2 linked regions of the Drosophila melanogaster genome follow. The gene in region 2 interacts genetically with the main gene of each other region. Each region holds a gene or a part of one and is shown on either strand. Other genes may lie near its edges.

The links. Genes that interact genetically often act in the same process or in processes that back each other up.
Region 1: of robo2 (region 2) and eg, changing one suppresses a phenotype caused by changing the other (phenotypic suppression), as found in Drosophila melanogaster (one study listed by BioGRID).

Annotation. Positions count from the first base shown.
Region 1 is NT_037436.4:21,806,373-21,812,286, reverse strand, and holds the start of eg (eagle), read right to left. Parts: upstream 3,585-5,914; 5' UTR 3,483-3,584; intron 3,449-3,482; exon of another isoform or gene 3,050-3,448; intron 1-3,049.
Region 2 is NT_033779.5:1,416,739-1,422,191, forward strand, and holds the start of robo2 (roundabout 2), read right to left. Parts: upstream 3,716-5,453; 5' UTR 3,428-3,715; coding exon 3,166-3,427; intron 1-3,165.

The sequences.
Region 1 (5,914 bases), on a different chromosome or scaffold from region 2:
TAAATATTATTATTATTATTATTATTGTTCTTATTATTATTATTATTATTATTATAATTATTATTGTTATTATTAATATTATTATTATTATCATTATTTTTATTAATATTATAATAAGAATAATTAATATTTTTATTATTTTAAGTATTGTTATCATAAATAAAAATCAAGTATTTACGTGCGGCTCTGTAACCATCAGGATCTTCGTAATTCTCGTTGGCCCTTTTGAGAACCAGAACTGCCACAGAACGCCCTGACTCCCTCCAATGACAGCCAGCTAGCAAGCTTAAGTGCTCCCCAGAGTTTTCCCAGTCTGGATATTTTCCGGACCAGGGATGCAAGTGGCAGGGAGCTGCTCCGCGAAATGCGCCCAGCAGGTGGTGTGGCCACAACGTGATGCTGCTTCTGTGATAATGGTTGGCCCCGTCCAAAGCCCGCCGGCTGCCAGATCCGGAGCTGGCCTGCCAATGCTCGGCACTTTGCATATAAACGCTCGCTAATGGACACCAAAGGTGACAGCAGAGCGCTGCTAAATTGGCAAACATTAAATTTGCACCTTCACAGCAAGCGAGCCATCGACCGCGAAACCGTGACAATTTTCGGCACAGCGGTGCACTTTTTCAGAAAGCAGGAAAATCATCGAGGAGATCTTCCATCTCTGGGTCCCAAAGACTCAGAACCGCAGTTCGTGGTGGAGCTGGAGTGGTAAGCCAGATTGCACTCAGCTAGAAAGAAGATCTCTGAATGGAGGAGTTTTGGGGAAATGGATTCATAAGCATCGTGTTAGCCGAAAAATGAGTATAATTACATCAAATAGGTGCATTTACCTTCGACATTGGGAACAACCTATATTACTGCTGCACTGCTTTCATAAATAAGCACTCATAAAACTAAATATTTATGCACTTAATATGCATAGAAGTGCTGTAAATTGCAATACATCTCGCCGTACCTGAACTTCGTAGATAAAGAACCAAAAAGTCAAAAATCATTTCGATCCTTATTGAGAAACCCGATTGAAATCCAATTGAGCGGCACGCTCGAGCTATAAACTTGCAGATCCCTATCCGCAGGCGGCATCTCAATCTTTTTGGCTTTATCACGACGACAACGACCAAGGCCACTGATCCACGTAACCGGGCGCATATTTGAGAGTCTTGTTCTTGGGGCATCTTTAGGACCCCTTTAAGTCAGCGCATAGAAGTAGTAGATGTCATGGAGGAGTACATAATTCCCATGCTTCGAGCTAATTACAAGTCCTCAAGCCGAGCCCAAATTTAAGGTGAATGCAATGCTTAGGTCCGATGGCCAGTTCGATTTGTGGGAAAACAATGAGTAGACGAGAGTTGTGCCAAAGACATTCTAGTGTCTTTGGTTGTGCCAATTCGAAATATTTGACTCTGCAGGTTCCTTTCAAATTTAAAAACAGAATCCCCATTGTTCATTTCTGAGTGTATATCGAACCGAACAGATCAGACCAGATATAGGAACGATCTTGGCTGTCAGACTTATCGATTAAGCCAAGATTAATGTTACACATTGGGCAGAAACAGACAATTAATTAGAAACCTAAACTGCTACAGAAACTACAACTGTATATTGATCGCAAGCCAAGTGGAGGAGATTGTTCGGATCTAATCTATGGAGATCTGCAGATGAACTCGATGGGGACAAGTTCAGAGCGGCTTAGACAATAAGAACCAGATCAGTTGGTCGCTGCCACATTCTCAACAAGCTCATCAACTCGCTGTTGACAGAGCTGAAAAAAAGTGGGCAGAACGTTGGACTTCTCTCAATAGGAATAATAAACAAGGTCCCAAAAAAATGTGTCCTTTAAAGCAAACAAAATGATGGACAATGCCAAATCTGATAAAGGCAACAGAGGGAGAAAAGGTGTTCAAACAAGCAAACCACGATTGTCTCAAATATTTTGAAGCCGCTACAAAATAGAACAAGAATCAAGAACACAGCCCACTGAACCGAACCCCGGAGCATTGACACAATCTGCAATCCAAATCCAAGTCCAAGCCCTAACCCAAACCCAAACCCAAGCCCAAACCCTTCCTACACCCGAATCGCCTTCCATCTCGCGCACAATTGCCGGTAATATGCTTTATTATTAGCCCTGCCAACCACTGGAGACGGACATTCGCAGTATGCAAATCCACTCAGCAGTCACACGCTCTAGTTTGAATTGTCTGCTTCCGCAATTCTTGATCTGCGATCCTCCATCCTCCATCCTCCATCCTCCATCCTCCATCCTCCATCCTCCATCCTCCATCCTCCATCCTTGATCCTTCTTCCTTCGCGATCGAGGATCCACGATCCAGTCGCTTCAGGCTGCCCCTGGCCCTTTTCTGCTTGATTGCCGACAGCAGTTGGACAATTAAATGTTTGAATATCTCCCATCTTTGTCCATTCGCAGCCCCTATTGTAGAAATTTCTTGACACTTATCGCACAAAAGGCAATAACATTATTAATGAGCATGTCAATGAGCTTCTTTTGTCTTCACCATTACACTTTTTCTGGTTCTCCTTGGTCCTCCTTAGTGGTGTGAGTACGAACTCATGGGAGTTAAGCTTGGTCCTTGATAGCTGGGGATAGTTGGGCCATTTCTTCGCAACAGATTTGTCTTTTTATTGTTGGTTTTTTGTTTTGATTTTAATAGTTTGTACTAAGTATTTCAATTATTGCTAAAAATATTATTAAATTGTATAATTTCAGTCTTTAATTGGTTTGGTTTTTATAATGCAATTGTTTTCGGTATTAATCTTTTATTTGCGATTTATTTTGACTTACAACAACCATCCGACAAATTTATGGAAATTATGCAAAATGGTTTTTATTCAATTAAGCCTTTAATATATATATTGCTTGTATTTATCTATTGTTTTAGCGTTTGAATTATGTGTCCAGCATCTCAACTTGTTGTTGTCTCATTAATTCAATGAATAAATGTTTTATTTATTCTCTTAATATGTTTTGTTTGTCAGCAGGGAGACTTAGCCATTTTTTAATAGCATAAGCTCATATACAACAAAATCTTACCTTTTCCAGATCATATATTTCCACAACAGCATAAATTCGATGTTTTTACCAACTCACTATTTATTTATTTTTTCCTCTTTAGATGTTAATTTTTCCAGTTTTTTTTTTAACTTCACACACTGGGATACGTTTGAATGAAAATCAACTGATTATATCAAACACACTCTTCACATGACACCTTAAATCCGAATTATCGCTGATGATATAGCGACGGCTTTCGAAGGAGATTTCAGCAATCACGTGGCGCACATAGTGCCGAAAAACTTCGCGATCGGTCGGATATAATGCGATTGCGAGAGCGAGAGAACAGCGAAAGCCTGACTGACGGTGCTTGGCAGCGTAGCGTCCATCCGAGACTAAATCGTCGCCGTCGTTCTGAGCGCCAAACAGACTCGAACTGGCAGCGCGGCCCTGGCCTCAAAGATCATCTTACCCCAGCAGCAGCAGCATCTGCAGCGCGGCAGCACGAACAGCAGCACTAACAGCAACAGCAGCGGCAACAAGACAACAAAGCGCACGCGTCGCTAGATTGTGTGCGTGCGTTTGCAACAGTGGCAGGGCACGGCGAAACTTAACTGTTAATCGGCGGCCGTCGCTGCAGGAAATCCTGTTTGGCAAACAGCTGCTGTGGCGAATGGTGCGCGTGCTCCGTTCTGCCGGTTTAACAGCAATGTTATGGCGGTAAGATCTGTTGACTGAACTGTTAACGAAACAAGATTTGTTATTTTCGGGAGAATTTTAAAACAATTATATTAAATATATATTATTAAATAATATATTAAAGATATTATTGACAAGTTAGTACCCTGAAAAAATGCAGTTTTTTGTTTCTACAACGCTAACTGAAATAAGTCAAAACGCATTTATGTATATTAAGAGTGCTAACATTTTTCTCCAAGTGCACCCTGCTACCGACCTCGCTTCGAACATGTTTGCTGTACGTTTCCAGCTCGGTTCGCGACTCTCCGCTCTCCGTAAATGTTAAAGCGTCGCATCTTCTGAGAGCTGAACTGTGGTTGGCTGTTGGCACCGGCACGATCTCCAAGCGTTTCGTTCGTTTCCATTGAATACTGTGTCGATGCGGTTGGCTGTTGGCTGATGTCTTTTTACCCCCGTTTGACTCTACACACGGTACTGTTATCATTTGAGTGTATTGGCCGCGAGAGTGTTGGCCCTGGTTTGCTTCGTTGTGCATGTGCATCCAATTGAACTCGTATTGGACGACTAATGTGGCAAGGAGGTGGGCACTTAATGCCCGGCGATCAGTGTAAACAAACATTGGGAGAAACCAAGAAAACATCAGAGGTTATTTGTGGCTTGACCTGCAAAATGGAGAAAACAAGTTCGCCTCCCTAGTCTTTCGTATATTTAAATATTTTTATGTGAATCTTTGTCGGATTGATAACGATTGGAGATGACCACATGGAAAACATATGCATAGATGTTGGTTTATTCTATCTGGGGGCACTGCAGAATTCTTTTAGGTTGAATACAAAATTCTGCCACTAATGGTATATATAAAGCTATATTCTTGTGAGCGTAAATAAAATAAAAGTTGCATGAGATTGTTTAACAAGGAATCAATTTTATTAGGGCTAAATGGTATCCATTTAAATACATTCGATACGGTACTTCAACAACAATTGCAAAATAATCAATGCTAGTTCTGTGCTGCTTAAATCGGATTGCCACCAGGCGCAAAATTGCCAGTGGAACAATCAACGCGTTTCCATATGTCTAATTGAATTCTCCTGTCATAAGCATGATCAGATGACTGCCTTCGTGCGCCGAGATGCCCACTAAAGTGATCCCCGGGCATTTGACCAGTCGTTGTCTGTCCCTCCATCTCAACTCATCTCAGCTCAGACTTAGACTCAGGCTCAGGCTCAGGCTCAGACTCCCGGCTTCTGTCACTTGGTGATGATGATGATTTCATTTTAATAACACCACTGGACGGAAGAAGAGTGCCACGGCGGAGATCGTTTAATACTCTGCATTCGCCGCGGCCGTGTCAACACCACTTGACGGAGTAACAAGGAAGCGCAACACTCTAAAACGACGTGTAATTTATCACAGCCAAAAGCATTTAGCCATGAACTGGAACGGAGACTCCGATTGCGACTGCAACTGAATCTGGCTAGTTTCTTGGAGTAGTTTCCTCTGGCTCTGCCTGTCAGTATAGTTGTCGTCATAATCTGCCAAGTGGCGATGCAGCTCCTGGAGCTGCTGCGGTGCAATTTGGTCGTCATATTAAAATTTCTTCAGCTCGTGGGCAATCTGAAATTTTCCCTCCGCTCTCTCCAAATTTTTAATTAAGTTTGGGCCTTGGCAACGGGCGCATGCGTATCTCGCCTGCTTGCGTGCTCATCTCTCAACTCGGTGATGAGTTGGGGCATTAGCTTAGATGGCTGCCCATATTTATTAGAGCGCAATCTGCCTCAAATTGTGGCCACTTGAAGCGATACGGAGCGGAGAGCAAGAAACTTTAATCTAATTATGAACAGAGTTGGTTGGCTTACTTTCAAGACGGACTTAAACAAATTGTACTCAGGATATAGAATTTCCCGAATTTTAATTCTATCAATAAGAGATTTGGAAGATATACTTTTTAAATCACTTTTAAAATTAACTAAATCGCTAGGAAATTGTAAATGCCAATGATGCACCAAATCTTCAACAAGTAATTGTTTTTTTGTTTTTGGCAAGTTCATATTGTTGTTAGTTAAGCTTTACACAAATTTAATTTAAATTTATTACTTACATTTTAAAGTTTTCTATTTAAATAAAGCTTAAGGATCAACTCAGTAAAGTGACTTTTTCCCACTACAAATTTTCAGTGAAAACTTCAGTCAAGCCAATCGGAGA
Region 2 (5,453 bases):
AGATTTCAATGAATCTCCCAGAGATATGCCTCTATCCAGTCGATTTCCCGCACTGCTTTTCCCATAACTTGTGAATCAAATTTCCATGTTGATTGACCCCACCAGAATTGCATATCCTCCTCCAGTTACATCCCTCCCCGAGCTCCTACAGCTCCTCACCGAAAAAACTCCTTTGCACAAAGCATTTCCAATGCAATTTGCGAACCTTTTTCTCACCAAGCTCGACTCAGATTTGCTCCGAGCTAAGCACCACGAACGAATATAAACGGGCCGAAAAAACTTTTCGGAAAATCCAGCAGTAACGCCTTCTCGAAAAACGAATAACCATTTTCCAGGCACTGCATTGCATTGCATTGCATGCAAAAATGTGGCCAACAGCAACGGCTTTAAACGCCAACTGGCATAACTGCAACATTTCGGATGCAAGTTTGCATTTTACGCGGCTGCCAGGCTTAATTTTCCTTTATTTTTAATATCGCAGCCGAGCAACGGCAACAAAATGTACATAAAACCCACGGCTATATCAAGTACGGCCAGCACCGAGATATACCCACATATACACACTGTTCACTGGACTGGACTGGCTGACAGGCTGGGTCTCCAGATCTCCAGGAAGCAAGAAATAACAAAAATCTTTGCGTAGGCAAAACTTGGCTCCGACTACCCAGCTGACCATGTCCAAGTCGCCTTTCAGCCATTCAAACTTCCAGACTTCCAGACCGATGTCTCTCTGGGCTCTGCGTTCTGGGTTCTGGCCGTCGTCGTAAGCCTGTTGTTTTAAATAATTAATTATTGTTTGGCTGGCAAATAGTCGACTGGAGATCGAATGCTCTTAGGAAAGGCGTACTGAAGCCACGGCTAGTTGCAATTAGAAGTAAATACTTTTCCCCAAGGAGTGGCTATGTGTTTTCTAAGGAATTCGATCCAAATTGATTTTTTTATTAGAAGTAAAACTACATATTACTGAAAACCTATCACTCCCGTCCTAGTCCGTATTTTCGAATATTCCTAGAAGTACGTCGCTATCCGCTAGACCTTTCGCCAGTCGACTTGCAACACCTCCACCCACATTGGCCCGACTTTCAATCACATTCCTGCCCCAAACTGTGTGCCAACGTATCGGTGCTAGCTATGGCATGGATACTATCCCATAAGACCCCTCATTATCTAGCCTGCAGCTGGGAGCAAATGGGAGATCTCGTTGAGTGCCGGGCGATTGGTAGGGCAATCATGTGATTGAACAAATAACATGCTACGGAGCTGCCACAGCACTTGACTTCATTTCTTTCGCCCGGGAAAGTAGGAAAACTAAGCCAGAGACCGCTACTTAGCCCAATTTTCGCATAATGCACATGAGAAAATTGCACAAGAGCCGAAAGGCTTTTGCCAGGCGGGCACCCAAAAAAAAAAAACACAAAAACACAAAAAATGCCAACATAAACGGCCAAGACAAAGGAAAGGATAGACTGCCACCCCCGGAGTCAAAACGAAAAAAAAAAAAAAAAAAACAGAAAGAAGTGCAGTCAGTCCAGTTAGCTGGAAAAACGCTCCCCAGAGTGGCATTAGAAGGTTGCCAAGGCTGTCAACCCTGCAACTTTGTGTTGAGGGCGATAATTTTTATGACCCCGACAGATTCTCAAGCCGACTGCGATTGACCCACCACCCAAAAGCTGGGCTGCTAACTGGATCTCGCTGGTCACACACCACCAGAAGTGAGGAACAAAATCCTGTCGTGTGCCGGTGCAGATAATTTTATACAATTTATTATATCAAACGGGCGACGTCGCGTGCAACACTTGCCACGTCACATCGGCCATTTCGGGATGGGGACACTGAGATACAGATACTTGGTGCTGCAACACACAGCCTCAGGTTGCGTGTTCAAGTGTTTACTGAAATCCGAATTCAAAAATCCCAATCCCAATCCGAATCCGAGTTGCGTGTGTCCATGGACGATATCAGTGGACTGGGCGTCGTTGGTTTGGCATTAAAAAGCGTTTAATAAGCATTAGATTACAACATTCTCAGCGTTGCAAGGGGTGTGACGACTTAAGCTCATTTAGATATATGTTTTATCGGCGGAGGTATAGAGCCATGAAATCGCCAAAGGGTCTAATTTAAAAGCGTTGCTTAACTCCCATTCCTTAAACCGCCAACCTCAAACCATTTCGCTTTAGTTTTCTTTTTGAACTTGCCATCTCGACCACAAAAGCCACAAACTCGATTCTTTGTTTGATTTTCCTGTAATCAGTTGCGAGATTGGAGCGGGAAACTACACTCGGTTGATTAGTCTTTCGAACTCATTACTCATTTATCTAAAGTTCGGTTTTGGTTTTGGTTAGTGATCTTTCCCGAGATCCTCCCTAAGGGGTTTACAATTTCTGTGTTTCGATTTACCCTCATCCAACTGAGTTTCCACATATGCATTTTTTTTTCACTTTTCTCGGGTTCGATGTGTAATACGATCTGTGTATTCTTTGGAAGTTGTATTTAGTTTTCCCAAATGTGATCCCTAAGTGGGTTCAGTGGGTTAGCATTTGTTTTTTGGTGTTCGTTATGTGGTGATAAGGAATAATGAGGAATTAGCAGCATTGTTCTTAAAAGTATCCATACTAATAGATACTTCTTAACCTTCCCTAACCTGCAGAGAACTTCTGAGAGATCTCTGGAATTACGATACCGATTGCAATGCCCTGCCAAAGCCCAAACATCCAGCTATGCCCATCCAAAAGTCGCCCCATTATGTGCATCTCTAATGAGAATCGGGAGAGAGAGGCATGAATAATGGGTCTATGGGCAGAGTCGATGTCGCGTTGTCTATAAAGCGGCCTTAAAATCCATTAGCGAACGTTGCAGGCATAAATAAACCGCAGTGCCTTAATTTCACTTTGTTGTTCGGTCGGGCCGCGTGTGTTGCAACCAAAAATAGCCAAAAGACGGAGTCGACCAACAAAAAAACGTAAATGGAAACAAATGACGCTAATAAATAAATGGGGAGTGCAGCGACATGAGGAGGCAACTCATATGCGGCCGCGAAGGATTTTCCCTGGCTCTGGGAGGAAATAGTTTGTCATAATGCCCTTCAAACTAAAACAGAGATCCCACAATGCAACCCTGCGAATGCAACTCTGGAGATGGACGCATCTTGCATCTGTTGACACTTACCCTTGAGCGCTCCGACTTGAGTTAATCCGTTTAATCCCGCGAGGAGCAGCAGCAGTGGGAATACTGCGCGTCGACTCCGATCGACTGGCATTATTTTTAGCCGCTCCCCATGAAAATCTCGATTGTTTCTGTGTCGGCGTTTGATCTCGCTGGCAGTTTTATTTTTGATTTTGCTTTTGATTTTAATTTGAATTTCGCTTTCGTTGGTTAAACACTGAGGTTGCAACCGCAGCGGCATTCCACGCATCTCGCACAAATGCATTTTGTCAAGTATTCTCGTTTCGCCTCCTTAATTGCACACCATTTAAAATAGATTTGCACTCATTTCTCGATACGCGCAATCTTTCGGATCTTCTGTTTTGGCACACACAGTATTTCTGTTCCTCCGAGTTAGTTATTCGCTAGCATCTGAATCCATGGCGGCGCCACTAAGTCCGTTTCCCGGAACGACGACGCGCGTAACCCGACGAATCGAACGGATACGGATATATGGACTGTATCTGCATCCGCAGCACATGCGAACCGGCTGACAATCGAAATGCGACTGAGGAACGAATTCTCGTTTCGCCTCGGAGCCGCCACCCGAAGTCCACTTCGGCTACTGCTTCGTGTCTGTGTATCCGAGTACCATCTAGTATCTGTATCGCTTCGTGCGCTGTTCCGCGTTCCAGTTCGTCCCGCTTGTTGCATGCTGTGGAACGCGTTGGAACTTTGTTTACTTTTACTGCAAGACGGTTTGTTTTGTTCCGTCTTCACTCGTTTCGATCCACGTGCCCTAGGTTTATCGTCGAGTCGTGCAACATTTCGGGTGGTGGTGCATCATCATGTTGCTATTGAGTGGATGTGAATTGTTGGAATATGTATCTGACTTCCAGGACTAGATGGGGATTTCTTTGCAGCACAACACATAGTCATGTATTTATTGGCTTTTTTTATGAATAATCTGCATCATTTGCTAATACAAAAAAATCTACATTCAAACGGACTTTAACACCATGCCACATCCATTTCCAAGTCCAACTTGTTTATCTCCAGCTCTTTTCCATTTTTATTCGATCATTCAAGCTCTTTTTCACGTTGTCAAGCCAACAAATTGCCAACCTTTGTGCCGCTCAGCCTCAATAGTTTCCATCCGAATCCGAAAACATTTCGAGCTCGGATAATCCCTACTTGTTGCGCTTTATTGCCCTCCAGCTCCACCGTGTCCGCTCAACCCTTCGCCGGCGCAGAGAGTCGAAAGAGCCCCTCCAAAGGGGCGACCATTTCATATCTAATCTGCTCGAGTGCCCCACTCACTCTCCAGCTGTTAGCTCATCTATTTCCAAACTGCAATAAAGCCAGACACAGTTCTAGACGATCCGTTTCACAATGCGATGAATAGAAATCAAAGTGGAGACCCGTTCTTGGACACTGTCCCAATATCTAGACGCCTCTGCGCGCTAATGAATTTCGAAATCAATTGAATGGCCAGCTAGACGATATTGTATTAATTTATCAAAGTGCATATCCGAAAGGGCTTTCCTCTATAAATCGCTGCCTAATTTCCCAGCGTTTGTTAAATAATCAATAACTTTTCCTCCAGGTAGAGTTCTTCGGACGAGTGTGAAGTCAGTTCATTAATGCCGGTGCTCAGAAAATACAGATACAGATACATTCGACGGGCAGAGAAGTGTAAAATAAAGGTGTGTATCTTTCCTATAAAGGAACTATGCGTGCATTTAGGAGCGGGCAGGTGTGGATTCCCTTTCCCCCTCCACTTCCCCTTTTCAGAGTGCAACACAATGTGCATTGTCTCTGCGAGAAAGAAAGGTCAAAGTGCGTACGGCGTATGTGAGTTTGTTGCCTTCTCAAGTCCCTCGTTTCTTCGATTCTCCGATCCCGACTCTCGAATCCCGATTCCCACTGCCGCTCACCTTTTATAGAGGCGAAGAATCCAGGTAGAGGAAAGAGAGAATTCGTGGCAGGTAAACCATATTTCAAATGCTGATAATTGGCCAATTTACAGCCAGGGCGAGTTGCTCTGCTTGAAAGGCGAGATATCTGAGCCCGGTTGCCACGCTTCATTAGCACTCAAGTGAAGTTGGGCAACGCTGCAAGTATATACGATAATATATAATATATAGATACCTTATGTCCTTTACCTTACCAAAGTAAATCCAATGTGCTAACTATCCGATGGATTCAAGCATGGATTTTTGATCTATGCCCGCAACACCCAAAATATTTACTCCTTAAGCTGGCCCGATTAAACCTGCCAACCCATGACCTTACCAAAACAGAGGGCCAAG